4 linked regions of the Astyanax mexicanus genome follow. The protein of the gene in region 3 binds, or shares a complex with, the protein of the main gene of each other region. Links are inferred from orthologs where the notes say so. Each region holds a gene or a part of one and is shown on either strand. Other genes may lie near its edges. The genes, in order: sirt2, ipo13b, ran and exportin-5.

Region 1 (7,223 bases), on a different chromosome or scaffold from region 3:
TGAAAATTGTATAATTTACTCTAAACTAATTTAGAGCTTTACTTCCAAAGTGGGAGAGGGCCAACAAAAGGATGTAAAGTGATACTAAACAATGAGAGCAGCGTGCAACTAACTCATGACTGGGTATAAAAAGAGCATTTTAGAAAGGCAGAATCTCGCAGAAGCAATTGTAGAAAGGTTTTCCCCTACACATTGGCACGTTGCAACAAGACAAGCAAACCAATCAGTTGCCTAGGGCCACCGGACCATGACTAAGAATGAATTAAATGCAACTGAAAACCCACTTAAATTGTGACTGCCAATACAGGCAAGTAAAACACTGTTATTGGAATTGTGCTATGAGCCCCCAAATGCCCTGCCCTTCTGTAGGTGTTAAAAGTATTGTGGCCTAAACTCTATTGGAGTGCATTGAAACTTTTACATTTTCTTTTAACCAAAAATTCAAATTTTCCTTTAGGTCTATTCTGTTACAATTGAACAGTACTTAATAGTATATTTTCACACCAGCTGCAAGAATGCACATGGCCCTTTTTTTCTGCACTGCCAAAAATCCATTGGCAAAAACTAGACATATATATGCAAATTAAGACATATGTATATTAATCAAAAAATATCTGCCAGTGGGGTAAGCAAAATATTCTTTGTAAGATTTCTTACAAAAAGCAATGGCAAAGTATCAGAATGAGTGAAATGACACCTAAGCTCAAGCCAAAAAAAAAACAAAAAAACACACTATTGCTGCTTGATTGTGCTTATTTTGAGTTCAAATTACTTAAAGTACAAATTCTAAAATGATTAAAGATAATTATCCCTAAGATAAGCAAAATAATCTAACACTTACAATGCTTAGTAAGACCAAAAGTTTTATCAGAGAAGAAATAAGATTTATTGCCTTAAATTTAGAAAATTTCACTTGCTAAGATTTAGTTTTTGCAGTGTGTTGCGCTCCAGGACTGCCAATCAATTCATTTCAGTAAATTAAAGCATTTTCCCAGCAGGTGTTTGCTATTGTTTGTGACTAAACCACTGTTTTGAGGAATTGCTACTTTAAAACATTAGCCATGTTGAGCAAACCATTTCTAGCTGGTCATTAGTACTGCTATGATAAGTTAACAAGCACTTCTCTTTTGAAGTAACTTAATTTTACTACTACACCATTTCTGTATCATTTTAAAGTTTAGGAATCATTAACTTGCTAAATTAACTGTCCTTCATTACCTTTGTGTACCTCTTAGCATTTGTAGAAAAAAAGGGCCTAATGTTCAATTAGCTCAATTTAGTTTCACACCAGATTTCTCAAACAAAACAATCCTTACTAAAACATTTAAATTTACAGGAAAGAAAGTTATACAAGACACAGAACACTTACAAAACAGTTTATTACTTGCTTTCATAAATCACTCTAAACCACAAAACAGGAATTGAGCAACAAAACCAAACAGACCACAAGACAACAGACGAACAGCTTCAGGTATCTTCATGCAGTTCACTGCAATCACGAGCAAGAGTATGGGGACTGGAACAGCTGCAGCACAGACAGCATTAGAAGATTCACCTGAAAAGGAGAAAGTTGATCTATTTAGTAGGATTTTACTACTTAATGTCAAACAAATAAGTTAAAAAAACAAATAAAAAAAAACATCAAAGTAACATTAAGGATTATATTTTCTGTAGTAATACAACATGATCAGGATTAATAATCATATTAAGGAAACATGCTGAGTTAAAGCACTGGCAGCTCTTATCAGCAGAGTCAAGACAATGTCAATGTCTGCATTTTTTAATTTTCCTTTTATTTTTTGAATGCTAGGCTAAACCAGGTGCTAACGTACCTCTATTAAGCTCAATTAATTGCTAGCTTGATCAGTCACCTCAATATATTAATGTATTCTCTTTACACTCAAAGGTTTCTTAGTCTGAAAAAGAATCATCATCCATACTTACCCAGATTTCAACTTCAGGAGCAGCAAACAAGTCATGATATTACCAGCTGGCTTTTATAGTCTCAGGATAAGTTGGAGCATGCCCAGTGTGGGCCACATGGATTGGCCCATGTTATAGGGGGATGCAAAGTAAATTATTGTTATATTTTTCTTTTTTTTTCTTGATGTATCATTGTTTTTTGTGTCTCTGTTATGTTTATATGTACATTGTGACATCTTGTAGTTAATGAATGTGTATTTATTCAAGATGTACATATGACTGTAATGCTGTTATAAATTATTGGTTCGATTGGTTCGTTCCTGTTCATTTGAACCAGCATAGACAAATAGAGGTCTTTTTTTAATATTAATTGAATAATATTTGGTTTATTTTTATTTTTCCACGCTTTCCAACTAAACAGGCATTGCATAAATTGGGCTTTTAAAAGGCAAAATCATATTAGGTGAATAATAAATTGTCTGGAAAAAGATTCAATCCTTAATTTTCACACTAGAGGGACATTTGGGGGCCAATAAATGACCAAACAACAACCTTTTACATTTCACCATTTGGCTGCAGCATTTACACAACATACAGCACATTTACACTTTTATATTTATAAAAAAAAAGACAGAATCATAGAGAACTTGCAACTATTAAAAGTATAAGTATTTACTTATTGGAAATTTCAGATGAAGCCAGATAGAGGTAAGTACTGTTTCCTACACATTCAAAAAACTCTTGGAAACTGGAGAAAACTGGTACAGAAAGAGTCATGTCTGGCTGATCCACATGGCAATGCCCTTAGCTCAGTTTAAAGGGGCACTAAACTGGGTGATGTATGGGTTTAGAGGCAGTGTTTGGGCCATACAGCACCTGTATCACCATAGGACACACTTGTTTCTGCACGAACCACACTAATCTAATTTATTACCGCACACTTGTAAATAAAATTGTTCATTGAGACATAAAAATGAGTTTTATGTGACTTTGCCTTTTCTCTGAATTGAATTGCAAAAAAAGATTGCACAAAAATAAGAGTGACTGTTTTGTTACTGTGTGCAACATATATGCATGTGTCAGATCTAATTGTGGAAGAGAAGTAAATCCTATAATCCTTATTATAGAGTGTGGGTGTGTGAGAGCTGGATTCTGCATTGAGGAGACCATGCGGTGGGAGATGAGGGAAGCATGAGAGAGGTACAGTGATTTGCAGGCCAGTATTTCATTTTTCATGCTGTTGATATCCTAACTTATTCACTTTATATGTAGTTAAACTGTTAGTGGCTTTATAAGATGTAGCAGTGGTGTAACAATAATAAACAACTAATTCCTCCATCCCATTATTCCAAATGCCTACAGTAACATTTAAAACTTTTTAAGATTAATAAAGGAGGTGTTTTTTAATACTCCAATGGTTTAATTTGATAGTAAATGGGTCTGCATACTGTCTATGTCTAAGCCTGTGAGCTTTTAGTATGAGAATCAAGTGTATTTTACTAAAAAGTATGCCATGTCTCACTGCAAGAGACTCAAAAAATCACCATAATTCATTTTAAGGTGGAAAATAAAAAGAAACCAATTCACTCTGCATTTTCTGGATATCTTTGGATTGGAGCTTTGATGTAATATATTCAGTCTTCTTCATGGGCATTAATTTACAGAAATGCAAGCTTTTTTATTTTCTGCTGGCTACAACTTAACTATTTCTTTCCCATGCCTTAATAAGTCGTGGCTATGCCTTAGGATCTCATTCCCACTCCTTAATAAGCCGTGATGTCACCTTCATCCGTAAGATAATTTTTTGGTGCCAAATTTTTTTCACTTTTTACTTCCCAACTTTTTACTTCTCTTTTAATTTAATTGATCTTATTAATTATAATTATCTTATTACCACACATTAGGATCTCATTCCCACTCCTAAATAAGCTGTGGTCACAGATTTTTTTTAAACATGATGTCATTTGTATGATCATTTTTTGGTGCCGAATATTTTAAATTTTTGGAGCGGGAATTATTATGGACACAATATGAAATAATAATTAATTATTTTATTAGTATTATTATTTAAAATAAGCCACCCCCTTGAAGGAAACTGTATCAAATGTACAAAAAGTATTGCAAACTGAAGATTAATAAGTCTCTAAATCTGTAATAATGTGTTTATTCAGAGCTAATATTTAAAATGTATTGATATACAGTGTTTGTAGGAAATATTGTTAAGCTTTATAACCATCTATAGATCCTGCTCATGTTGTCTGTGGTGTTTGAGTGCGGTCAGTTCTTGTGTGGAACATTAGCATAGCTCTGCTCCAGTTTTCACCCGGGCGGAGAATCTCGATGCACAATAACAAATCCCTTTAAACCAGCAGAAGTGAGAAAGAGTTTAAACGATTTAATAAAGAGTGTAGGTTAAAGCTGAGGCGGTTAGTTAGGTTAGCGAAGACGGATAAATGTCTGAGTCTGGAGGTAATGCCTTATATAACCTGATAACTAGGTTTAATAGTTGTTTTGTTGACGTGTTTTTTGTTTTGTTTTAAAAAGCGTTATTAGCCAGTTAGCCCTGCTCCTGTAATGCAGGTCACAGTTAGCTGAGCTATTCTGATTATTAGCCTGATAAGCAGCAGCGAGGACAGATTTTCTGCTAATACTGTATATTTTCTCTTATAGACCAAACTAAAAGAGAAGAAGAGGAGCCTGACACACCAGATTTTGAGGTAATAAACGTAGCTCATGACCACCTAGCTCAGCTAGGAAGGTAGCCAGTCCATTCGGTCTCCTTTCCTGGATTAATTCTCTTTTGTAAATGTCGATGACATTATCTCTCTCTCTCTCTCTTTATATATACAACTCTGTAAAAAAAAATCAGACCATTTCAGTTTCTGAATCTCTCTGATTTTGCTATTTATAGGTATATGTTGGAGTAAAATAAACATTGTTGTTTTATTCTATAAACTGCAGACAACATTTTTCCAAAATTTCAATTAAATATGTTGTCATTTAGAGCATTTATTTGCAGAAAATTAGAAATGGATGAAATAACAAAAAATATGCAGAACTTTCAGACCTCAGTTAATCAAAGTTTTCATGCATCTTGGCATGTTCTCCTCCACCAGTCTTACACACTGCGTTTGATAACTTTATGCCACTCCTGGTGCAAAAATTCAAGCAGTTCAGCTTGGTTTAAAGCCTTACACCGTGGTTGGTGTGGTGCAGTAGATACCACCACCACCTGATTATGAGCTAAGTTACCACTTCATGTGGGAGACTGGGGTTCAATTGCCGGTCTGGGTGAGTATGCTGTGATACACTAACAGGAGTCCAAATGTTGTAAATGTATAGTTGTAGAGGAACACATGGAATTATTTTATTTTTCTTATAAGTGGCTTCATTTAGCTTTGAGGACACATCTGCACACTCTTGGTATCTTAACCTCAGTGTCTTCATGAGGGACAGTCACCTGGAATAGTTTTCTCAGCATCTTGAAGGACTTCTTTGAGATGCTAAACAATAGATGCTGCTTTTCCTTCACACTGTGAAGCTCCAGCTCATCCCAAATCACCATAGGTTTAATAAGATTTTTTAATTAGGTTTAGGTCAAGGGGTTGTGGAGGGCAAAAGCTTTTTTGTATACTACATAATTCAATATATGTCCTTTAATTGCTTTCATGTCTTTAATATTATTCTACAGTGTATAATGTACACTATTTCCTGACACAACTGTCTAGTCACTGTACAGTATACTGGTGAAGCTATTGAACGTATATTTGATTTCCATTCTAATGAATGGGTTTCCAATTACCCTTGTAGTTAGTATATCAACAGTCCCCAGGTATTTATGCTGTATCCCTATTGATTAGTTACTGGCTAGTTGATCGATCTGTTTTCGTCAATTCTTTAATCTAGGCTGAGTCTGACGATAGCAGTGACGAAGGAGAAGCCTCTGGAGACAGTGAAAGTAGGTGTCTGTCTTGCAAATCTTGTGGATAGTAATTTACAATCTTCGTTCTACAGCTTTTGAATTAAACTTGTGTTTTCTTCCCTTGTTTTAGTGGATTTTCTCCGCAATCTCTTCTCTCGAACTCTTGGCCTGAGTCCTGAAGAAAAAGTCCTTGATGACTTGAGCCTTGAGGGAGTGGCTCGATATATCCAGAGTGGAAAATGTAAGTATTAGACTTGAGTTTTTTGCTTGTCTTTACAATTTATGCTTTCTGACTTCTATTACATGAAAATGATTGCTAATTTGTAATAAATATATGCAAAGCAATGCAGACTGGTGGACACAGGCTTTTGGACTTGTTGCTGATAACAGTCATCTATTTCTTTCACAAATAAAAATAGAATACTGGAATACTAATTTGTCTGACCACAGTACACGTTTTCACTGTGTACCAGAAGCCTCAGAGTTGATGCCACTTGGTTAATTTAAAGCTTATATTTTGCACAGCAATGTTTTAAATGGCATTTATGAATGTAACTTTGTAATTATATTAGCTATTTCATTCAGTTTTTTTATTGGTTGAAAAGATATAATAAGATATAATAAATTGATTAGATGTGAAGCAACAGATGGACTCCAATCTGTGAAGATAAACCTCAGTTAAGAAACAAGTTATTGCATTGCAGTGTGTATATAATAATAATAATAATAATAATAATAATAATAATTTTTATATTTTTAATATACTAGTTTAATCAAACATTCAAATCCTCTTTGTGTTAATTTGCCTTTAGGTAAGAACATTATCTGTATGGTGGGTGCAGGAATTTCGACGTGTGAGTACACTAATATCATGTCTCTATATTGTTATATTAATAGACAGCTGAAACAGCTGATTACCAAACGTGCAAACAACCAAACTTGCTTCTAACTACTTAGTTAATAATACGTATTCACAGCTTTAACATTAGCTACCTCTCTCACATGCAGCTGCTGGCATCCCTGACTTCCGCTCCCCTGGAACCGGCCTCTATGCCAACCTGCAGAAGTACAACCTGCCATATCCTGAGGCTATCTTTCAGATTGACTATTTCAAGGTCTGCCTTTAATAGTGAAGCCAAATGTAATGTGCTTAAATTAACTGGGTTTGAACTGACTTAAGTTTCTTGTTTTACCCTCCTCTCTCCACTAGAAACACCCGGAGCCTTTCTTTGCTTTGGCCCGGGAGCTGTACCCAGGACAGTTCAAGGTATGATTAAATGGGAAACACCATGGGGGGCAGATTTGAATAAAGAATGTATGCATATCCTGACATGCTAAAAGTTATGGGATGGTACAATGTAAAATGATCATAAAGTGG
Region 2 (7,603 bases), on a different chromosome or scaffold from region 3:
ATTTTTTTCCTATTTCTTTCACCCCTAGTTTGCTCATATATGATCCTGTGGATGACTTTTAAGGTGGTCCTTTGACTCTTTTGTTTGGTTGTGGGTGGTATATGATCTAAAATGTTTAAGAGCCAATGTTTTCCACTCTACCTCTCTTAAATTCTCTCAGAGTCTGAGAATTTGAAATACTATTCAATCATGCCAAACTTTCTCAAGACAGTTCACAAGTGAGGAGGTCTAAACCACACACAGCCTGTGAGCAAAATAAAATCACAAATTATAATCTGCTATTTACAAAAAAACTCAGACACATGTCTGCATAATTAGAGCGACTGAGCTACAGCTCATCCCTGGCTGTCATACTGTGACAAGTAACCATAGATTAAAAATTCTGTCAATCATGTCTTTGAATGTGGGTGTTTCAGTGCATTGTAATACAAGACAAAACAAAGCACTTAAATATGGACTGCACTTAACAGTAAGAGTCCAGTAAATTATGTGTTTTAACAGACAGTGGCACATGGAGAGCACAGTGTACTGTGTAAGGAAAGCTTCTCTCCTGTCATGGTACATTATGTTCTGGACACTCTGACAACAGCATCTGGTTCTGAAACACGGTATTACTAGTGTGGTTGAACCATGTATATACAATGGCATAGAAAACTACCTGACTGGAATTAAAATCTTTTAATAGCACCAGCAGATATTAATCAACGATTAATGACTAGATATTAATCAGATACATTTGCTTCTGCCTAGCCCAGATGGTGGCATAAAATTAATGGTTGGTGACTCAGTCAAGCAACACTGGCTGCATGAGAAAACTGAAACTGAGTTCTCAGCTATGTAATATACAGGAATTTAATTTAGAAAATAAATATGTTAGTCAGCTCTATGATGTAACTTAAGGTGTAAACTTTAGATCGTACAGGGCAAATTAAAAAATTGTCTAAACTGCGGACCTTACTGCACAGTCTCCAATGACCAAGTCTTAATAATGTTTCTGTTCTTTCTCAGTCTCCATAGCTGCCATAAATCTAGCTTTCTCTTGATCTCATCAACTGACTGTAGTTAGAACACAGCAACCACATCTGGCACTCATAACCCTCATACAGGTTAGCAAAGCATGTCGATACACAAAGAAATACTAAGTCAACTAGCTGACCAACACTTTGGCTTCCTTTGTGAATATTACTGTTACAACCTCAAATATTCCTATAATAATGCATCATTGAAATCAAACATCAAAAATGTTTTTGCCATAACATCCACCCTTTTACACACCGTTTACACAACATGACTAATCTATCTATAAACTATATGAGCAGTATTACTACTCTGCTCATCTGAACACGTTGGTCCACGAACGGTCCTGACAGAACTGGACAACCAATCTGGTTGGTACCAGGCTGGTAGACAAGCTAATCAGCTTTAATAGTTATAACACTCCAATGAAAACACAACCTATAACCTAGAGCTAAACTGGTCAACCGGCTGGACCAGCTTGAGTTGGCTGCTGTTATTGTTCTTAGCTGGAAATAATAAATGGTTTATAATGTAGTAGTTCACTGTAACAAGGGGGTTTAAGCATATTGAACTTCTCCTAGTAATAACAGATAGCTAGCTAAGCTAACTAACTAGTTAGCTACTATACTCAAATTCAGGTTTGAGATTTAATAACTGAGTAAACTCGTCTGATTCGTGTCTACCTAGTTATACAGCTCTGGAAAAAATAAGAGCCCACTTCAGTTTCTGAATCAGTTTCTCTGATTTTGCTATTTATAGGTAATTGTTTGAGTAAAATGAACATTGAAGTTTTATTCTATAAACTACTGACAACATTTATCTCAAATCCAAAATATAAATATTGTCATTTAGAGCATTTATTTGCAGAAAATGAGAAATGTCTAAAATAACAAAAAAAGATGCAGAGCTTTCAGACCTTAAATGATGCAAAGAAAACAAGTTCATATTCATAAAGTTTTAAGAGTTCAGAAATCAATATTTGGTGGAATAACCCTCATTTTTGATCACAGTTTTCATGCACTTGGCATGTTCTCCTCCTCCAGTCTTACACACTGCTTTTGGATAACTTTATGCCACTCCTAGTGCATAAATTCAAGCAGATCAGCTTGGTTTGATGGTTTGTGATCATCCATCTTCCTCTTGATTATATTGCAGAAGCTTTCAATTAGGTAAAATCACAGAAGCTCAATTTTTAAGTGGTCTCTTATTTTTTCCAGAACTGTATATGCTGGAAAACCAGAGCTATGTTATCTAGCTGAGCTAACTTGTGTGTGTGTTTTAAGCTTCACACAGGAGAACACGGTCTGTTAGAGGCGGTTAGTCGGCTAACCGCTAACCTACCTTCTCCACGTTCTCCACGGTGAAGTCCGCTGTGTCCGCCGGGCTGGCTGCTATCCTCCCCTGCGTGTCCATGCTCTCTGCCGGTCTGACTGTCCGTCAGCGGCCGGGCACACGGGGCGAAGGGGACCGGCGTCCGAGATAATTTCACCACTGTTCACAGCTCTGATTTAACTTGAGTTTAAACCGCCGCTCCTCTCTGTTCACCCTAAAACAAGCCCAGAGAGAGAGCGAGCTGAGCTAACATAACCTAGCTACACCGGAGCCTCCACTAGCGCTAGCGCTGCTTAGCTAAGAAACAACCATGATTTATTCCCTAAACCCCGTCTACACCGCGGCTCTGTGTGAGTCCGGCGTCTACTATTCACATTATAAGACAGTATAGTTTTCTGTAGAGTAGTTAACTAGGTGTAAAACCCTGCCCGTGTCTGTATCTGTCCTCTAACCGGCGAGACGCTCCGGACTAGCTCTCAGTCTCTCTGTGTCTCTCTTTGCTTCCCCGCCCGCTCTCTCCCTCTCTCTCTGCTCACTCTGAACACCGCCTGACCGACTTCACCCTGTCAAACCCGTCAAACACACAGCACAGCTTAAACACACATTATTAACACTACTCCTAAAAAAATCTCCACACTCCATTAGTGAGCGTTAACTAACCCAACACAGAAACAAAGGGCTCCTTAATTTAATATGTGTGCACTAACAATACAACGATACAACGACTACTACTGCTATTCTTGTTTCATTTCTATAACATATAATTCATGTTATATTAAATAATATTTTAATCTTTTACATACATATATCAATACATTAATGTGCTCATACATTTTAAATTATCTTTTAATTTGATGTAGGCAGTGTACATTTTTTTAAAAAGGGGCCTTCGCGCTGCATTCTGGGAAGTGTAGTTTTTTTGTAGAACGTCGCATTTCAAAGACGGGTTCTCGGTTTCTGACGTGCAGTGTAATGGCGTCCCCGTGTGTTTCTGGTGAAAAATTACAAGTCTGTGCTGAGCATCCAAGTGTACATACAGTGGTGCTTGAAAGTCTGTGAACCCCTCAGGACATCATCAGATTTTCACAAATGTACTAAAAGTAGATAAAGCGGAAGTTAAACAAATGAAAAAAATAATAATTATTATATGTCAATTTTAGTGTGGGAAGTTCCATGGCTAAATTGGAGCAGCCTGGTGGCCAATCTTCATTAATGGCAAATTGCAACAGTAAGTTCAAAAGTGGATAAATTGTTGGTGCACATCTTGCTGGTGCATCTGTGACCAAGACAACGAGTCTTTGTGATGTATAAAGAGCCACGGTGTCCAGCATAATGTCAGCAAACCACCAAGAAGGACGGGCCACATCCAACAGGATTAACTGTGGACGCAAGAGGAAGCTGTTTGAAAGGGATGTTCGGGTGCTAACCCAGATTGTATCCAAAAAACATAAAACCACGGCTGCCTAAATCACGGAAGAGTTCAATGTGCACGTCAACTGTCCTGTTTCCACCAGAACTGTCAGTTGGGACAATAAATAATTGTGGTATAAAACCAGGTGTTTCAGTTTTATTGTCCAACCCCTGTACTTGCTCATTAATTTATTAAGGAAACAGATCAAATATAACATTTTTATAATTAGCAAAAGTATGTGAACCTTTAGGATAAGCGGTTAGTTTAAACATGAAATTAGGTGCTCCCAATCAATGGGAGGACAATCGGGTGTGAATGTAAATGGACTACTATAAGAAGAACACTAAACAACTTTTTGGAAGAATTTTTTTTTGGACAGATGAGACCAAAACATAACTTTCTGATTTAAGTTAAATGCATTATGTTTGGAGAAAGGAAAACACTGCATTCCAGCATAAAAATCGCATCCCTCCTGTAAAACATGGTGGTAAGTGTATTATGGTTTGGGCTCGTTTTTGCTGCATGTGGGCCAGGATGGCCTGCCTTCATTGATGGAATAATAAATCCTAAGCACTAGACCCTAAGCACTAAGAGCCGATCTACTAAAGAATGGTTCCAGAAAATAAAGTATTTTAATTCAACCAAAATGTTGTGGAAAAACTTGAAGCGAGAAATTCATGTGAGAAAACCCACCAACATCTCAGAGTTGAAACTTTTCTTTACAGAGGAATGGGCTAAATTCCTCCTAGGTGGTGTGCAGGACTGATCAACAAGTACTAAAAACCTTTAGCCTATTACATTAGCAAATGACATTAAATAAACATTGAATTATTGATGACAGAGGTCAACAAGGTCAGAGAAATAGGCAGACTGGGTGAGCTGATAGAAAGGCAACAAGCTTTCTCGAAAATCCATCTTAAGACCAGCTTCTGCACACAACTGTTTTGGATGGGCTGCATCTTTGATGGTCAAAGTGGTTGACAAGTTGGCTATGCATTCAAAAACCTACTTTATGCTGGTACTATGTGCTTCACATATGTTGCAGCATAATGTTGCATTTGTTTTGGGTCATGCTTGTTCATGCTGGTCATGCTGGTTCAGCATCATGGTCTCACTGATCTTAAAAAAACATCTCTGAATGCACAACACTTTGAACACAGAGACGGATGACAACAGAACATCATTACAAAACACCACTACAGCTCCTATTTTTGTTAGCCAAGAACAGAAAGCTGAGGCTGCGGTGTGCAAGTAACCTTTGAAATCAGTGTTATCACATACTTCATACTGTTTGATTCTGATGGGACTACATGAAGACACTTGCTAAGCAAACCAGCCATTAATAATATTAATTTCACTTAATGTTTCTTATATTGTCTCTCTATTCCTAAAATAATTTTAGGAAATCAAAATGTATATTTTACACAGAACAAGTGTACCATGAACAATTTAAAATGTTTGCAAATGTAGATCAACCAGGTTTACATCAGATGATAAGTTAATCTAAATTTGTCCACCCCTGTCCTGTAGTGATTAAGCTGGGAAAATATGTGTAGTCTTAAAAACATTCAAGTCATGATTTTTTTTATTCATGTTCAAGGCACAGTATTCTGACAATGACCCATACACATCCCATAGTGCATCTCAAGAACTGCTGCTAGAAAATGAAATCCTCATCTCCATAAACGTTGTCAGAGATTTTCCAGGAAAACACTGCACTGATGTTGGTCCTAACACAGTGGACCAACACCAGCAGATGACATGGCTCTCAACCATCACTGACCATCAGTAAATTTACCATTTCATTTGTAAATCATGTGAACAGAGTCTGGAGGAAAAGTGGAGAGACACACAGTCCAAGCTGCTTGAGGTCTTATGTGAAGTTTTCACAGTCAGTGATGGTTTGGAGAGTCATGTCATCTGCTGATGTTGGTCTGTGTGATAACTGTGTTCTATCAAGTCTAAAGTCAGTGCAGTGTTTTCCTGAAAAATCTTACAGCACTATGTTTCCCTCTGCTGACAACTTTTATGGAGATGCAGGTTTCATTTTCCAGCAGGACTTGGCACACTGCCCACACTGCCAAACGTATCAATTGATCTTATATAATAAGAACATTTTCTGAGAAACTGTTTTTGAGTTATAATCATAAACAATAAAAGAAATAAACGCTTAAAATAGATCACTCTATACATCTGTATAATATTTGAGTTTCACATTTTAAACTGAATTACAGAAATAAAGTAACTTTTTTAATGATGTTCTAATGTTTTGAGATGCACTAGTATATGTTATAACAACCAAATAACACAAAACAGAGCCTGACGTTGCTGTGTGTGTGGGGGGGGGGGGGGGGGGAGGGGGGTCTGAGGGCGTGTCCTGCTTCAGTCCGCTCTTGGCTCGCCCCCGGAGCTCCGGTGCTGTACAGTGGGATACTGGGTGAGGTGAGAGGAGAGAGGGGAGCTCTGCTGGGAGGTCTGAGATGTTCTCCGCTCCGTATGACTGAACCGAGGCCGCTGTGAGTTACCGTGCCCGCGGGTGAGATCCTCTGCGATGGAGACAGCTCGATTTTTGTTTTGAACAGCTGAGCGCCGTAGGACTGAAGGGTGAAACACGTGGCACATGAGCTCAGAGAGAGAGAGAGAGAGAGAGACAGACAGAAAAAGAGTGAGAGAGAGAGAGGCAGAGAACACTAGGTTCAGTCAGAGGAGCGGAGCGCTCTCAACAACTCAACAAACCTCACAGACTGAAGTTCACTCAGTTCACAGCTCAGACACATAGCGCGCGCAGAGTCCGGGTCACTCCAGACTGATTTAGTTCAGCTGTTTTAATTCTTATTTCACCAAAAGAAGGAATAAACAGAGCGAGAGAGAGAGAAAGATGAAGGGTCCAGTGAGCGCTGCTGCTCTGTCCGTTCTGGTGCTCTGCTGCTGCTGCTGCTCTCTCGCCAGAGGTAAGAGTTCACCACATTTCTCTAGTTTTATTCCACTGGAGTGAAATATTTAGTTTTTTTATAGTGCGACTGACTTTATGCCAAATAGACTTTTAAGAGATTTAAAATAATTAAAACTAATTTTAAAACGATTTTCACACGTTAAAGGAGAACATCGATGTAAAATTGACTTTGGGTGTAGTATAACATATTAAAAATGACTTACCTTTGTTGAATAGCACATCACCGCTTTCCCGCAGCTTTCTGATATACAGTCATTTTCTTTGTTAAAAAACATGCCTCAAATTAAAGGTCAAGGCTCTCCGGATTCTACCAATGAGGTGTGGAGCTACTTTGAGCCTGGATAACTATGTAAAAAGCGATTTATCTGGGCAAAATATGCCCTGATACGACCGTTGTAAAGAGTGCTGGGCAAAAAGCACGAAATTACTGGAGGTGTGCTGTTTAACAAAGGTTAGTACTTTTTACTATGTGTTACTACACTAAAAGTCAATTTTACACCGGAGTTCTCCTTTAAGGTTCTACATTTCTCTCGCTCTTTCATTTTCCTATTTCTTACGTATTATCCTCAATTTTCAGTTCTTCTGTATTTATATAGTTTATATCATTTTCTTATCTCAGTTTTTTTATAACCCCTTTTCTATTTTTCTCCTTTCTTCTTTAAAACTAAAATTTGCTATCTTTCTCTCTCTCTCTCTTTCTTTCTCTCTCTCTCTCTCTCTCTCCTTCATTGTGTGTCTTTCTTTCCTTTATTTACCCCTTCTGTCTTTTTTTTTCTCTTTCTCTGTCTTTTGCTGTTAATTTACTGTTCATTTATTTACATCTTTATTGTTTTTATTTCTCTTTCTCCCTTTTCTCCTCCTTTCTTTCTCTTGGTCTCCTTTCTTTTTCT
Region 3 (7,207 bases):
TAAATAATCCAAAGGTCACCCTTCCCTATGCCTAGCAAAGATGAAGATGACGACCTCCAATATTAGGCTGTAGAGCAGTGGAACTGTGTTCTCAGGAGTAATGGAGCTTTGTCCAGTACCATTGGAGTGGAGATCATACAGTTGTGGTCAAAAGTTTACATACACTTGTAAAAAAACATAATGTTATGGCTGTCTTGAGTTTTCAATAAGTTCTACAACTCTTATTTTTCTGTGATAGAGTGATCGGAACACATACATGTTTGTCACAAAAAACAGTCATAAAATTTGGTTCTTTCATAAATTTATTATGGGTCTGCTGAAAATGTCACCAAATCTGCTGGGTCAAAAATATACATACAGCAACATTAGTATTTGGTTACATGTCCCTTGGCCATTTTCACGGCAACTAGGCGCTTTTGGTAGCCATCCACAAGCTCCTGGCAAGCTTCAGGTCGAATGTTTGACCACTCTTCTTGACAGAATTGGTGCAGTTCAGCTAAATGTGATGGTTTTCTTGCATGAACCCGTTTCTTTAGCACTGTCCACATGTTCTCAATGGGGTTTAAGTCAGGACTTTGGGAAGGCCATTCTAAAACCTTAATTCTAGCCTGGTTTAGCCATTCCTTTACCACTTTTGATGTGTGTTTTGGGTCATTGTCTTGTTGGAACACCCAACTGCGCCCAAGACCCAACCTTCTGGCTGATGGTTTTAAGTTTTCCTGCAGAATTTGGAGGTAATCCTCCTTCTTCATTATCCCATTTACTTTCTGCAAAGAACCAGTTCCACTGGCAGCAAAACATCCCCAGAGCATAATACTACCACCACCATGCTTGACAGTAGGCATGGTGTTCCTGGGATTAAAGGCCTCACCTTTTCTCCTCCAAACATATTGCTGGGTGTTGTGGCCAAACAGCTCAATTTTTGTTTCGTCTGACCAGAGAACTTTCCTCCAGAAGGTTTTATCTTTGTCCATGTGATCAGCAGCAAACTTCAGCCGAGTCTTAAGGTGCCTTTTCTGGAGCAAGGGCTTCTTTCTTGCACGGCAGCCTCTCAGTCCATGGCGATGTAAAACACGCTTGACTGTGGAGACTGACACCTGTGTTCCATCAGCTTCCAAATCCTTTCAGACCTGCTTCTTGGTGATTCTTGGTTGACTCTTGACCATCCTGACCAATCTCCTCTCGGCAGCATGTGATAGCTTGCGTTTTCTTCCTGATCGTGGCAGTGACACAACTGTTCCATGCACTTTATACTTGCGTATAATTGTCTGCACAGTTGCTCTTGGGACCTGTAGCTGCTTTGAAATGGCTCCAAGTGACTTCCCTGACTTGTTCAAGTCAATAATTCGCTTTTTCAGATCCACACTGAGTTCCTTTGACTTTCCCATTGTAGCTTTTGTAGCTGAGTCTAATCACTGGGTCAAATGAGCCCTATTTAAATGGGCTCATGAGAAGTCAACAGCTGTAGTCAATCAGAATCACTTACAAGAAGTGAAGAGGCCATGACATGAAGCTAATTTGATTGACACAACTCGCTACATCACCAAAATTGACAAATTTTGTTGCTGTATGTATATTTTTGACCCAGCAGATTTGGGGACATTTTCAGCAGACCCATAATAAATTTATGAAAGAACCAAATTTTATGACTGTTTTTTGTGACAAACATGTATGTGTTCCGATCACTCTATCACAGAAAAATAAGAGTTGTAGAACTTATTGAAAACTCAAGACAGCCATAACATTATGTTTTTTTACAAGTGTATGTAAACTTTTGACCACAACTGTATGTGCCAGAACATAATTTAAATGGGATGTTTGACACCAGCCACACATGAGCCTAAGGTCAATATACCCAATGCCAAACAACAGCTAGAAGGCTAATATTGCTGAAACATTACTTAACCATTTAACAATGTTTCTTACTGTAGTGAGTAATTTTTGTGTGACCTGTGTTGGATTTAGTGCATCAGGCATTTTAGATCACCTTCACTGACACCAGTTCAGTGGCCAAGAAGGACTGAATATATTATGAAGTAGAGATTTTATAAAAGCATTTGTAAGTGTTTATATGTGTGTAGGACTGGGCATGACTATGAGTTACCTGTTCCGAGAGCCAGCCACCATTAACTACCCCTTTGAGAAAGGACCCTTGTCCCCTCGATTCCGTGGAGAACACGCGCTGCGCAGGTACCCAAACGGAGAGGAGCGCTGTATCGCGTGCAAACTGTGTGAGGCCATCTGCCCAGCACAGGTATACCACACACACACACACACACACACACACACACACACACACACACACACATACACACAGCATTATTACAGTGCAGTATTACACATACACATACAACTACAGTATATGAGATGGAGTGAGGCCTAAGAGTGGGTGCAAATGGATGGGACATTCCCTTTCTGAAGTTGTGTGGGCATTTAACATTTCTTAATTGCACAGTCATGTGTGCACTGAGAATACATCATAGAGGGCATTAACACCCACAGCGGACTGTGCAATAGCTGGTAATGATTGTGACCGGCAGCATCTGGCAAACAGACAAGTGACTCTGGCAGAAATCACATCATATTCAATGCACAAGTGCTGCGTTTTTTGATACCTTGGGATATGGCAAAAATTATGGCATGTTAGTGTTTATGTGTGCAAAATGTAATGTAAATAAATTGGTAAGAAATAAAAACACAGATAAGAGTTGGGACCTAAACAGTAAAGTGTGTGTTTGTGTGTGTTGCAGGCTATCACAATAGAAGCAGAGACCCGTGCTGATGGCAGCAGAAGAACCACTCGCTATGATATTGACATGACAAAATGCATCTACTGTGGATTCTGCCAGGAGGCATGCCCTGTAGATGCAATTGTGGAGGTGCGCGCATGCACACACACACACACACACACACACACACACACACACACACACACACACACACACACACACACACACACACACACAGAGATGCTCCATTTTCACTTTTACTGTTTTCTTCACCTCGCTTCTCTCTTTCCCCCTTTCTCTCAGGGTCCTAATTTTGAGTTCTCCACTGAGACACATGAGGAGCTGCTTTATAATAAGGAAAAGCTGCTGAATAATGGAGATCGCTGGGAGGCTGAGATCGCTGCCAACATCCAGGCTGACTACCTGTACAGATAAACAGCCCTGAACAGGAAGCAATACATGCAAACCATCAGAATTAAGAAAATACATCTGTTGTCTGCTCTTTATTACAGCCATAATTGCAGTGTATACTAAGAAGCACTCAGTGCACCCAGTGTAGGAGAATTCATTGTATGGTTCAAACTTCCAAGGTAATGAACTGAAACATCACTAATCGCATTCTCAGGAACTTAATAATCACGCACAAATGTACACAAGTACACAATGAATGAAGTGTAATTATTGTATTTTATAATAGATTTACTTTCAGAAATAAAACTTTAAAAAATATTTTGTGTGCCTGTGTGTGTTTTTTGAGTGAAAGGCATAGATAATGTGGACATTTTTATCAGTAGCATTCATATTACTAATAAAACTAGAGAAAGAATTGGTAATTAGTAATGTATATCGTTATTGTAAGTTATTGTAGTACCCGAACAGTTCTTTCTCATGTCCTTAATGTTAGTTTTAGTCTGTAGTTTTAGTCTGTTAGTCTGAAGTGTCTGTAAGTATAGTATTTTGATGCCATCTCAGCTGATCCAGCAGTTTGTGATTTTATGGTTTTATATGTGTTGCTAGGATTAACTTGCAGTAAATAATGTACATATTGTTTGTATTGTATTCTTATAGCTTGTACTCTGTTCGTGCAGTGTAAAATGGATATTTAAATAATAATAAGAATGGGGTGTACATAAATTACTGTATACTTTTTTTTAGAATGTTCTACAAAACTGTATCTAAATAACCGAATATAAATACATTCAAAAAGCTATATAATAGTTTATGTTAAATGTGGAGTGGTTCCAAACGAATAATTATGCAATGTGCAAGGGGAACGCCTCCCTCAGATTTAATGGGCGCTCATGCAACAACCTTAAAAGATGTAATACAACCTAAGAAACAACGTTCATGCAATGTTCTTTGGTCTAAAGGCAAGACAAACCCCACCCTGCACTCTGTACCTGCTCCATGGGAAAGTTTAGGGTTGCTGCTGTTGCAGAAAGCGGCCAGGCGGGGGCGCGTTACTGCGCGCGGGTTTGCCTGGTCACGTGCTTGGGGCGGAAGCGTTAATGCGGCCGCGCTGAGAGTCGCGCGCTCGGTGCCATTTGCTCTTTTCTCACTGCGCGGCAGAGCGGAGCACGAGCGTCCAGGTAGGAACTGCGCGCGCTGGGAACCAGAATCAGCCCTTAGCGCTCACACACACCCCGCGTTTACACCGCAACACATCGCTCAGCCTCCCGCGCCCCGCTGCGGCACCGATTCAGCGGATCCGCGGGTTAGATCAGGCCTTTAGAGCGGCGGGCTCGGCTCGGTTTAACGCGGTAGCATCGTGTGGCTAGGCAGGTTAGCGCTTAATGCTAGCGCGGATGCGATTACGTTATTGCGTTCCCTGATTTTATTATAAATCCGTAATTTTGGGTGTTAGTCCTGTGCTGTAGGGTATATGTAAGGTGGAGGACTGGATTGGAGGGGTCTGGTCTTTCTGAGATCCGGCGCTCTTTTTTGTTTTGTTGTCCGGTAGCTCTAAAGGAGGACAGTCCTCATCCAGCGAGTAGAAGTCCATCCCAGGATTTTAATCCGACCGCCTGTATCGCTGTACTGCAGCTCATCGGCTCAGCTTGCGTTAACTAGATATAAGCCACGCTAGTTACCTTGATATATTGTTCTGTGCGTTCTAGATAGCTTTTAAATCATTTTCACTTGTTTACATTTGCGTGTGTATTTTTCACTTGTGACTAATGTACTCAATATGTCATCCATGTAGTATTTTATTGCCTCAAACCTTTTTTTGGCCATAATCGATTATCATATGGCTTCATGTAAACTAACCAAAACCTTATTTGTGATCAATCATTTTAGGAGAACTTTAAACTTAACACCTAATTTGTGGGCTCAGTATGTTAACCTAACTACCGTAGCTAAGCTATGTTTTGGCCTTTGAAACAAATTTTTGTTCCCTGTAAGATTTTAATACACCGTTTAAAAGAAGTCCCTGCAATTCAGCTAACTTAATGTGTGGCCTATATATTTTTGTTGAATTAAATAAATTTGCTTTTGTGGTCTTCTGCAGACTAAATGTGGCCACTATATTACCTAATGACCTCCTTTTAAATTTTACTGTTGTGGCTACAACTCAATTTGACCAATAGCTTGTCATATAGCTATTGCATATAGTATTTCCTGTTCACTACAAACTTACTTATTGACTACTAGCTAGTAACGTGGCTAATTTGAGGCCCCAGTAGCTAGCTAACAGTGTTACATTTGAGCTCTCAAAATATATTTCGTGGCAGCTAAAACATTTTTATATTTAGTTGCCTGTAAATAGTTTTATAGAAAGTACCCGGGTGTTTTGAAACAAAATATCCTTGGGTGGATTTTTACTTTCTGGACTTGGATTACCCATCAGTATTGGTAGCGAACAGTTAGCCGGTTAGCATTAGCCAGCGGAAAGAGAGCAGGCTAGCGTTGGCTAAGCTAACTGGATGGATTTGCTTCTGGTGAGAACTAGAAAAGCGCGGCAGCTGTGCGACATGACGCTCAACCAACCAGCAGAACCGGCTCTGAGAGCTCCCATCCGGACTGAACTCGAACCCGGTGGTCGGAACCGGTTCAGACTCGCTTATAGCAGAGCTACCATTCATATTAGCCATAGATGTAATATGTGAGGCGTAGTGAACGCGGCCCCAGCGTGCTGTACGTGTAGCTAAGCTAGCTCATTAGCATTTACTGCGCTCTTGCTTGGCGCCTTTATCAGACGTTCTGGTGGTTGGTTGATTGATGCCGGGCTGCTCAGGCCGCTCAGGCCCGTCCCGCAGCTTCACTGGGTTTGCCCGACACCGCGTGTGGGGAGGGGGATTGTTCTCCGGCCTTTTGTCTGCCTGTATTAACCCTCCCGCCATCTCTCCCGCAGAGTCGCGCTGCGTCAGAGACCCACACACACACATCCAACAATGGCAGAAAACGACCCACAGGTTCAGTTTAAGGTGAGTATTTCATCTAATAAACTACACTGGTGACCTTTTAGGAAACATTGTTTAAAAAAAAAACCTCAACTCTACTGAACAAACTTATGAAGTCAGCTTAAAGGGCCATGCCCCCATTTTTATTAACTTATAAAAGTTGAGAGGCGAATAGCCATAGCCATATTATTTGTTCTGAAGCAAGAAATGAGCTTATGATGTCTGAATTAAATATCTAACGTTTATCACAGTAAGTTACTGACAGATAAATTGTCTCTGGTTGTCTAAAAAGACCCTCCTGTATACATTCATACCATCATAAATGGCAAAGCTTGTCTTAATATTGCTTGTTAGCCAGAGCACTCAGAGCAATTATTGCAGTACAGTATAGCAGTGTGTCTTTTAAGACACATTTTAATATTTTTGTAGTTGTTAACTGTTTTTCCAACCCACAGCTGGTTCTTGTAGGAGATGGAGGTACGGGAAAGACCACCTTCGTAAAGAGGCATTTGACAGGAGAGTTTGAAAAGAAATATGTTGGTAAGTTTGGCTTTGGACTTGTAAAAAATTGTATACAGGCCTGTTTTAGAACTTTACTATATTCCAGCGAATGTGCTCAAACTCAGAAGTGCTCATTTGAGCACTGTGGCCTGAGTGTGACTCAATCGCCCCATTACACATAGAGGGAGGTTTGTGCTGGGGAGCTTTAAGTATGTCAGGCTTTGCAGGGTAGGTAAACATTGTGCAGTCAGTTAAAACAGTAAATCAAGTTTTAAGCATGTCTTTTAATTAAAAAAATCTTTTGTGTAAATACTTCTGTGTATATAATTAAGTATTGTTTTCATTACCCTGCGGGTCTGTGCACTTATTTACATCTGTTTGTAATGACACCTTTTTTTTTTTTTTTTATCTGCTTTTTCCATTCAGCCACTTTGGGGGTTGAAGTACACCCTTTGGTCTTCCACACTAACAGAGGGGCAATCAAATACAATGTATGGGACACAGCTGGACAGGAGAAGTTTGGTGGTCTCAGAGATGGCTACTACATTCAAGGTATATCTCTTGCTTGCCATTGTT
Region 4 (7,010 bases), on a different chromosome or scaffold from region 3:
TGTTTACAATTCCTTTTAAACTGTAAATGCTCGGCTACTTTATATAAGGATCACCATAAATTAAACTGCAGCAAATTCATAAGAGCCAACTGAATCGAACTTCTTTGTTTCGGATCATCTCTGTCTTTACTCTTAAATAAATATAATTTCTTATTATAACAGTACATTAAATACATTCTTAGAATATATTGTAAACTTGTATATTCTACTGGCAAAATATTTTATAATGATGTTTTAACATATATCGATATATAAAATCCAGCAGCATGATTATCAGTACTCTTCACACCTTTGACATTTGCTTAATAAAGTGTGGGAACAAGATGATAATAAGTGGCCACGACTTAAACTGGTAAGAAAAGAGCTGGTGTGATCTTTATCTTTATGTGAGACTTATTTTGTGTAAAGAAATTCACGAACATGTTCTGTATAGAACTGTATAGTTCCTATTAATAATAATAAGCATGTTTGATATTTTTATAAAAACAAACGACAGCCCACCAATATTTGAATATTAAAACATATAAAAAATATTTTAATTCAAACGTTTCTAGTTTTTGGCCAAAAAAACTTAAAACACTCAATTCTTACAATGTTTTAATAATTAAAAGTAAAACAACAGTTGATGTACTTTGTCCTGCGCACTGAATCAGACATGTGATTCACCGAAACTGAATCGGTTCGTGAAAAGTGAATCAAACTTTCCATCAGCAGGACCAGCCCGTTCCTGAGTGACGTGGAGCGGGAGGGGGAGCTCGAGCTGGAATTTCAGCTCCACCCCGCGAGCCACACACACACACACACTATACACACACACACACTATACACACACACACACACTATACACACTACACATACACACACACACTATACACACACACACACACACTATACACACACACACACACTGTACACACTACACGTACACACACACAGATACACACAGTTCTTCGTAACTGATGAACTCTGAGAACTGTATCAGATTAAGTCTGTATTTGTGTTTCTGGGTATTTTAGTTTAGTAAATATTTAGTATATAACAGCTCTGTCTCAAATCGCATTTATTAATTTATTATAGTTAGAAGAAACTGTTTAACACAGACTGAGAGAGTATATCTGAGTAAATAAATATATTTAATCTCAGTTCATTTAATCTAAGTTAAGAAGTGAATTTAATTTGAGAAAATTAGTAAATCTATGAGACTATATTTAATTAAGCTGTATACTGAGTCGACTTAAATACATTTATTTACAATAAGTAAAATAGTCTGAGTCTGATAGATTGTTTGTAAATAAATGAGCATCTCATTACATTTGTAATTAAATATTGAGTAAAAATAGTAGAATTAGTATGCTATGCGAGTAAATGTACGTACAATAGTACAAATTAATTATTTTAAATGGAGTACATTAATAAATTAGTACTTTTTAATAATAAATAATGAGTAATTTTAATAACATTACCGTGTTTACTCAAATTACATTAATCTACTCCCGTAGATCACTGTATTTACTTAAATTTCATTAATCAACTCTACGTGATTTTAAGGCACTATAAACTCCCATAATGCATCAGGATGTATAGGGTTAAATGGCAATAATTAAAAAGCAATATCCTCTCTTGGTCTCGTTATTTCCGCTACAACTGAACAATCTCGCCGCTTTTAGACTCTTTGTCTCGTCATTTCCGCTACAACTGAACAATCTCGCCGCTTTTAGACTCTTTGTCTCGTCATTTCCGCTACAACTGAACAATCTCGCCGCTTTAGACTCTTTGTCTAGTTATTTCCGCTACAACTGAACAATCTCGCCGCTTTAGGCTCTTTGTCTCGTCATTTCCGCTACAACTGAACAATCTCGCCGCTTTAGACTCTTTGTCTAGTTATTTCCGCTACAACTGAACAATCTCGCCGCTTTAGACTCTTTGTCTAGTTATTTCCGCTACAACTGAACAATCTCGCCGCTTTAGACTCTTTGTCTAGTTATTTCCGCTACAACTGAACAATCTCCCCGCTTTAGACTCTTTGTCTAGTTATTTCCGCTACAACTGAACAATCTCGCCGCTTTAGACTCTTGGTCTCGTTATTTCCGCTCCAACTGAACAATCTCGTCACTTTAGACTCTTTGTCTAGTTATTTCCGCTACAACTGAACAATCTCCCCGCTTTAGACTCTTTGTCTAGTTATTTCCGCTACAACTGAACAATCTCGCCGCTTTAGACTCTTTGTCTCGTCATTTCCGCTACAACTGAACAATCTCGCCGCTTTAGACTCTTGGTCTCGTTATTTCCGCTACAACTGAACAATCTCGTCGCTTTAGACTCTTTGTCTAGTTATTTCCGCTACAACTGAACAATCTCGCCGCTTTATGCTCTTTGTCTCGTCATTTCCGCTACAACTGAACAATCTCGCCGCTTTAGACTCTTGGTCTCGTTATTTCCGCTACAACTGAACACTCTCGCCGCTTTAGACTCTTGATCCCGTTTTCTGCGCTACAACGGCGCATTCTCGCAGCTTTAGACTATTTAGCTTTTAGACTCTCCTTAACACAGTGTCCCTATGTAGGTCACACTCCTGAGGGAGTGTCTAAATTCACTCCTGTTTTTACCGCTACTTAGTGAACTAAACAGTGTCTCACTATATAGTGCACACTAATGAGGGCGTGTCCGAATTCACTCCTGTTTTTACCGCTACTTAGCGAACTAAACAGTGTCTCTCTATATAGTGCACACTAATGAGGGAGTGTCTAAATTCACTCCTGTTTTTACTGCTACTTAGTGAACTAAACAGTGTCTCACTATATAGTGCACACTAATGAGGGAGTGTCCGAATTCACTCCTGTTTTTACCGCTACTTAGCGAACTAAACAGTGTCTCTCTATATAGTGCACACTAATGAGGGAGTGTCCGAATTCACTCCTGTTTTTACCGCTATTTAGTGAACTAAACAGTATCTCTCTATATAGTGCACACTAATGAGGGAGTGTCCGAATTCACTCCTGTTTTTATCTCTACTTAGTGAACTAAACAGTGTCTCTATCATTGACAGTATATATTAACTGGACCAAGCCATCCCGCTGATTTCAACGGAGCCAGGTGAGGCCAATCGTGTCACTTCCTGATCGGCGTCTCGTGGGGCGTTAACCGGGAAAGTGAGAGATTGCGCAGGCGCCAGCATGACGCGAATCTTCCGCGTGCCGTGCAAACAACCGTACTGTTTATAGGAGCTGCACAGAACTATTAACTCCACAGTGAGAAAAGCTCAATTCCGTCCTAGAATGGGGCTTTTATTAAATGAACAGCAGATAAAAACTAGAATTACTGATATCCAATATTAGTCCACGGATTTACTGAAGAATATTCATAGTTTGTCTATATAACAAGCATTTAGAAACTCAGTAATAAGAATAATAAATGTGTAATATAAATTACAGTTATATCTATACATTATAATTCTCATAGTCTATCTTATTTCTATTTACTACTATCTTACTATCTACAATGTATTATAACTGATAGTAGTAGTATTATATTTGCATAATAAGAGGTTACTTTGACCCTGCTCTAATTCAATCAGCTCTGTACTTTTAAATTAAGAGGAGCAACTTCTCCAAACATTACAGCACGGTATTTTGGGTCGCTGTCTTTTTACGTCATCGTTAGCATAGTTGTATAAAAATTTTATTTTCTAAAGCCATGAACAGATTATTAATCTTATGGATCAAATTGCAGAAAATCCGTTCTTTGTAGAAAAGAACACGGGTCGTGTCATAATCGAAAACGGCTTGGAAATACATTTATTATTGGTTCAAAGACACCCCGAAATGAATGGAAGTGAATGGATAGCTTTGCTCTAATGGTCCTCTCATTCCTCAGCAGCACACTTCCGGTGGCACGTTTTGGAAGGGAAAAGCTGGGGGCCTGGTCTCTATATATAGTGCACACTAATGAGGGAGTGCCCGAATTCACTCCCGTTTTTATCTCTACTTAGTGAACTAAACAGTGTCTCTCTATATAGTGCACACTAATAAGGGAGTAGGGAGCCTTTTCGGTTAGAGATGTGTTCACACGTGATTGCTTTGCGCATGCGTATTGGGGCTGGAGCAGAGGACGGCACTTGTGTAGTAGCGTGCTGTGCTGCATAGTAGTGGTGGTGTATCTGGATCTGGTTGTGTGTTGTGCTGGTTCTCCTGCTTTCTCCGGTGGTTCCCCGGGTGTTCTCTCCGCGTCCGCGCGCTCTTCTCTCCGCTCAGTATGGATGATCCGGTTAAATCGATGTGTGAACAGCTTATTAAGGCTGTGAACGTGATGATGGACCCGGACTCCTCGCACCAGTATCGCCAGGAGGCCCTGAAGGTACCCGGTGAACTCGGTGCTGTGCCGAGATTTGCTGCTTTGCCAAATCCTGCTACCGTTGTATTTATTTTATTGCTTAAGCTTCAAAAAAAAAAGTCTGGATAACTAGAATTAACATGCTTAAATGTATGTGTAAGATATGTGAACAATTTTTATCAATATAAATATGAGTTAACTGAATGTAATGTAAGTGAAGTGATTAGTGTTTTTTAGCCGCTTATTTTTGTTATTTTATTAATAATTATTACTTTCATTCACACGTGTCCAACAACTTCCTAAAGCTCAGACTTAGGTTTAATTCAGACATATATATAGTAATTAACCAGAAATATTAAGAAAAACACGTTTAAAACACGTTAAAAGATGTTGAAAAAAACGAACCAGCGCATGCGCAGAGACGTAGGGAGCACATATCGACGGGTAGCACAACTCAGCGTGACGCACTCCAGCTAGCTCACTGTGCTAATCTTTATTAATGGAAATTGAGAGTTTTGCTGATTTAAAACTCATTTATTTCAGTTTATCTAGGTTATCTATGTGTGATTTTAATATTATTTATTATATATATTTTAGTTGGTTATGTGCTTAGCTTGTTAGCTTGCTAAGTTCTGATGATGTTCTGCAGCTAGCTGGTTAGCAATCCTTACAGTGCACAGGTTCTGCAGTTTATCTGGTTCTGGTCCAGTGTGTGGTTCTGTTATAATGTTATATAAACACCTGTTTATAAGATTATGATTAGTATTATTATTAAATATTATCTGTGTGTGTAGCTGTGTGTTTAATGGGATGCTATAGCTGTGGGTTAGACACCTGCAGTGTTTAGCATCTTCAGCTGCACGTGTGTGTGTGTGTGTGTGTGTGTTATGATTTTTATTTTAAAAGCTAATTGAAATACATTTCGTGTAAAGTAATAAATTAAATAATGCATTGATTTGTGTAGGGAATCTGAACTAATATATTTAATTTTGAGAACAAATCTGAGTTGAGTAAACATCAAATTGGTGAACTAAATTTGAGAAAATTCTCAAAATGTTCATAGCAAATTTGAGTAAATTAATAAGATTGTAAAATCAAGATTTAGCTGCTGATGCTGCACATAAAACTCTTTGTGCGAATAACGCAAAAGTGTTTATATACTTTACCCAGTAATTCAGAGCTAAGAAACAAATGTTTTAGAATTAAATGTTTTTAGAATTAGTCTATGGAGATAAAACACCACCAGCCAAGTACAATTGAGATAGGTAGGTGTTTAGATGTTTAGAACAGTTCTGTTTACACTCGTTAAAAGCAAAAATTCACCCCGGTGTGGATTTTTACTTTCTAGACCTGGACTACCCACCTCTGTGTGTAACTATAGGGTTTAAATAGGATCTCCGGTGGATTTGGTGTTTTACAGAGACTCTAAGACTAGATCAGGGGGTGAACTGCACTTAGCAGGGTATTATTACACATGTTGTAAAAATGTCTGTTTTAAAACATTTCTGTTATTCGTCTTGCTGCCTTCTGTTGCAGTGCTGTTAGCCAATCAGAGGTGATATATTTGCATGTATGAATAATTATGAGCAAGAGCCGAAATCTTATTGCCTATATCACCTAGTTGTCCAGTTGCTGCACCTGGAGACAGGTGCGTATAGAACAGGTGTGGTGAACGAGAAGGCGGAGCTTATTAAAGATGCATGATCACTGTAATGCTAACAGGCTAACGGCTCATTGTCTCTCTTTTTGTTCTCAGTTCTGTGAGGATTTTAAGGAGAAGTGTCCGTTCTGTGTGCCGTGTGCTCTTCAGCTGGCTGATAAATCCCAGACGCCGGTGGTGAGACACTTCGGTCTGCAGACGCTGGAACACGTGATAAAGTGAGTTCTCCCTCCAGCTCCCCCCGAACCCCTGCAGATACTGTAGATCCTCCTCCTCAGAGCTCTGATTGTTTATTTAAAGTTTTATTTATATTAGCTCTTACACAGCGTCTGTCTGCTTCACACAGGTTCCAGTGGAACAACATGCCTCAACAGGACAAGGTCCATCTGAAGAACTGCTCCATGGAGCTGCTGTCATGCGTGAGTAGAGGAGGAGGATGGTTTGATCTGCTCAGAGAAGCTGATTTGTAGAGATTTCTCACTGATTTTTGTGTTTTTTGTGTTGATTTCAGGGAACCTACCCCATCCTGGAGGAGGAGAGTCATATTAAAGACGCTCTCTCGCGGATCGTGGGGGAGATGATAAAGAGGGAGTGGCCTCAGCAGTGGCCTGATATGCTGACGGAGATGGAAACGCTCACTTCATACGGGGTATGTGGTGGGACTTTTTGTCACCTTAGCGCTGGACGATATGGCCAAAATTTATATTGTAATATATTCCTTAATTTCGGTCGATATGTTATAATTTTGATATCAATATAAATACTTTGAAGGCCTTAGAAAAACTGCTAACAATCCCTGCAATAGAAATCTACCTACTACTGTCTGAAAATTTAATTTAAGTCTTTAAAGCCCCTCTCTCAAAACCTATATAATATATATATCATCGCTGTCCTATGAAAAACACTCCATTTTTGTCTATTTTTAGTTTACTACATAATTTGAACAGACAAACTGTCCCTCACGCTGCGCCAAAATTTCTTTTTGGGCTCCTCTAAAGATTTTCAATAGGGTTTAGATCTG

What was found.
Region 1: the proteins of ran (region 3) and sirt2 are in contact, whole or in part, in a crystal structure (PDB 5FYQ), measured with the Homo sapiens proteins. The link is inferred for Astyanax mexicanus from reciprocal best matches to the Homo sapiens genes RAN and SIRT2. Residues at the interface, in NP_006316.1 of Homo sapiens: Phe35, Glu36, Lys37, Lys38, Tyr39, Val40; in NP_036369.2 of Homo sapiens: Phe96, Arg97, Glu116, Phe119, Gln167, Ile169, His187, Ile232, Val233, Phe234, Phe235, Gly236, Glu237, Ser238, Leu239, Phe244, Gln265, Val266, Gln267, Pro268.
Region 2: the proteins of ran (region 3) and ipo13b are in contact, whole or in part, in a crystal structure (PDB 3ZJY), measured with the Homo sapiens proteins. The link is inferred for Astyanax mexicanus from reciprocal best matches to the Homo sapiens genes RAN and IPO13. Residues at the interface, in NP_006316.1 of Homo sapiens: Lys37, Lys38, Tyr39, Leu43, Gly44, Val45, Val47, Pro49, Trp64, Gly74, Leu75, Arg76, Asp77, Gly78, Tyr79, Ile81, Gln82, Asn103, Arg106, Asp107, Arg110, Val111, Tyr147, Trp163, Arg166; in NP_055467.3 of Homo sapiens: Leu33, Tyr34, Tyr35, Ile39, Lys42, Gln46, Leu49, Met50, Gln53, Glu73, Tyr76, Phe77, Ser80, His83, Ile84, Ile118, Thr121, Arg122, Val125, Val172, Glu175, Glu176, Thr179, Ser414, Asp415, Arg784, Asp785, Pro787, Asp788, Pro829.
Region 4: ran (region 3) and exportin-5 share a complex: the UniProt entries of both Homo sapiens proteins name them as parts of the nuclear export receptor complex. The link is inferred for Astyanax mexicanus from reciprocal best matches to the Homo sapiens genes RAN and XPO5.

Annotation. Positions count from the first base shown.
Region 1 is NC_064411.1:44,563,987-44,571,209, reverse strand, and holds the start of sirt2 (NAD-dependent protein deacetylase sirtuin-2), read left to right. Parts: upstream 1-4,221; 5' UTR 4,222-4,376; coding exon 4,377-4,392; intron 4,393-4,593; coding exon 4,594-4,640; intron 4,641-5,829; coding exon 5,830-5,881; intron 5,882-5,975; coding exon 5,976-6,086; intron 6,087-6,657; coding exon 6,658-6,699; intron 6,700-6,853; coding exon 6,854-6,960; intron 6,961-7,055; coding exon 7,056-7,112; intron 7,113-7,223. UniProt on the Homo sapiens protein: NAD-dependent protein deacetylase, which deacetylates internal lysines on histone and alpha-tubulin as well as many other proteins such as key transcription factors.
Region 2 is NC_064408.1:63,507,959-63,515,561, reverse strand, and holds the start of ipo13b (importin-13), read right to left. Parts: upstream 3,013-7,603; 5' UTR 2,431-3,012; coding exon 2,359-2,430; intron 1-2,358. Other genes in the region: uncharacterized protein LOC103033886, read left to right, coding at 6,639-6,711. UniProt on the Homo sapiens protein: Functions in nuclear protein import as nuclear transport receptor. Serves as receptor for nuclear localization signals (NLS) in cargo substrates.
Region 3 is NC_064417.1:22,958,002-22,965,208, reverse strand, and holds the start of ran (GTP-binding nuclear protein Ran), read left to right. Parts: upstream 1-4,194; 5' UTR 4,195-4,318; intron 4,319-6,081; 5' UTR 6,082-6,121; coding exon 6,122-6,154; intron 6,155-6,585; coding exon 6,586-6,670; intron 6,671-7,057; coding exon 7,058-7,183; intron 7,184-7,207. Other genes in the region: ndufs8b (NADH:ubiquinone oxidoreductase core subunit S8b), read left to right, coding at 2,082-2,254, 2,751-2,879, 3,033-3,164. UniProt on the Homo sapiens protein: GTPase involved in nucleocytoplasmic transport, participating both to the import and the export from the nucleus of proteins and RNAs. Switches between a cytoplasmic GDP- and a nuclear GTP-bound state by nucleotide exchange and GTP hydrolysis.
Region 4 is NC_064432.1:27,056,983-27,063,992, forward strand, and holds the start of exportin-5, read left to right. Parts: upstream 1-3,995; 5' UTR 3,996-4,251; coding exon 4,252-4,353; intron 4,354-6,085; coding exon 6,086-6,207; intron 6,208-6,335; coding exon 6,336-6,408; intron 6,409-6,500; coding exon 6,501-6,638; intron 6,639-7,010. UniProt on the Homo sapiens protein: Mediates the nuclear export of proteins bearing a double-stranded RNA binding domain (dsRBD) and double-stranded RNAs (cargos). XPO5 in the nucleus binds cooperatively to the RNA and to the GTPase Ran in its active GTP-bound form.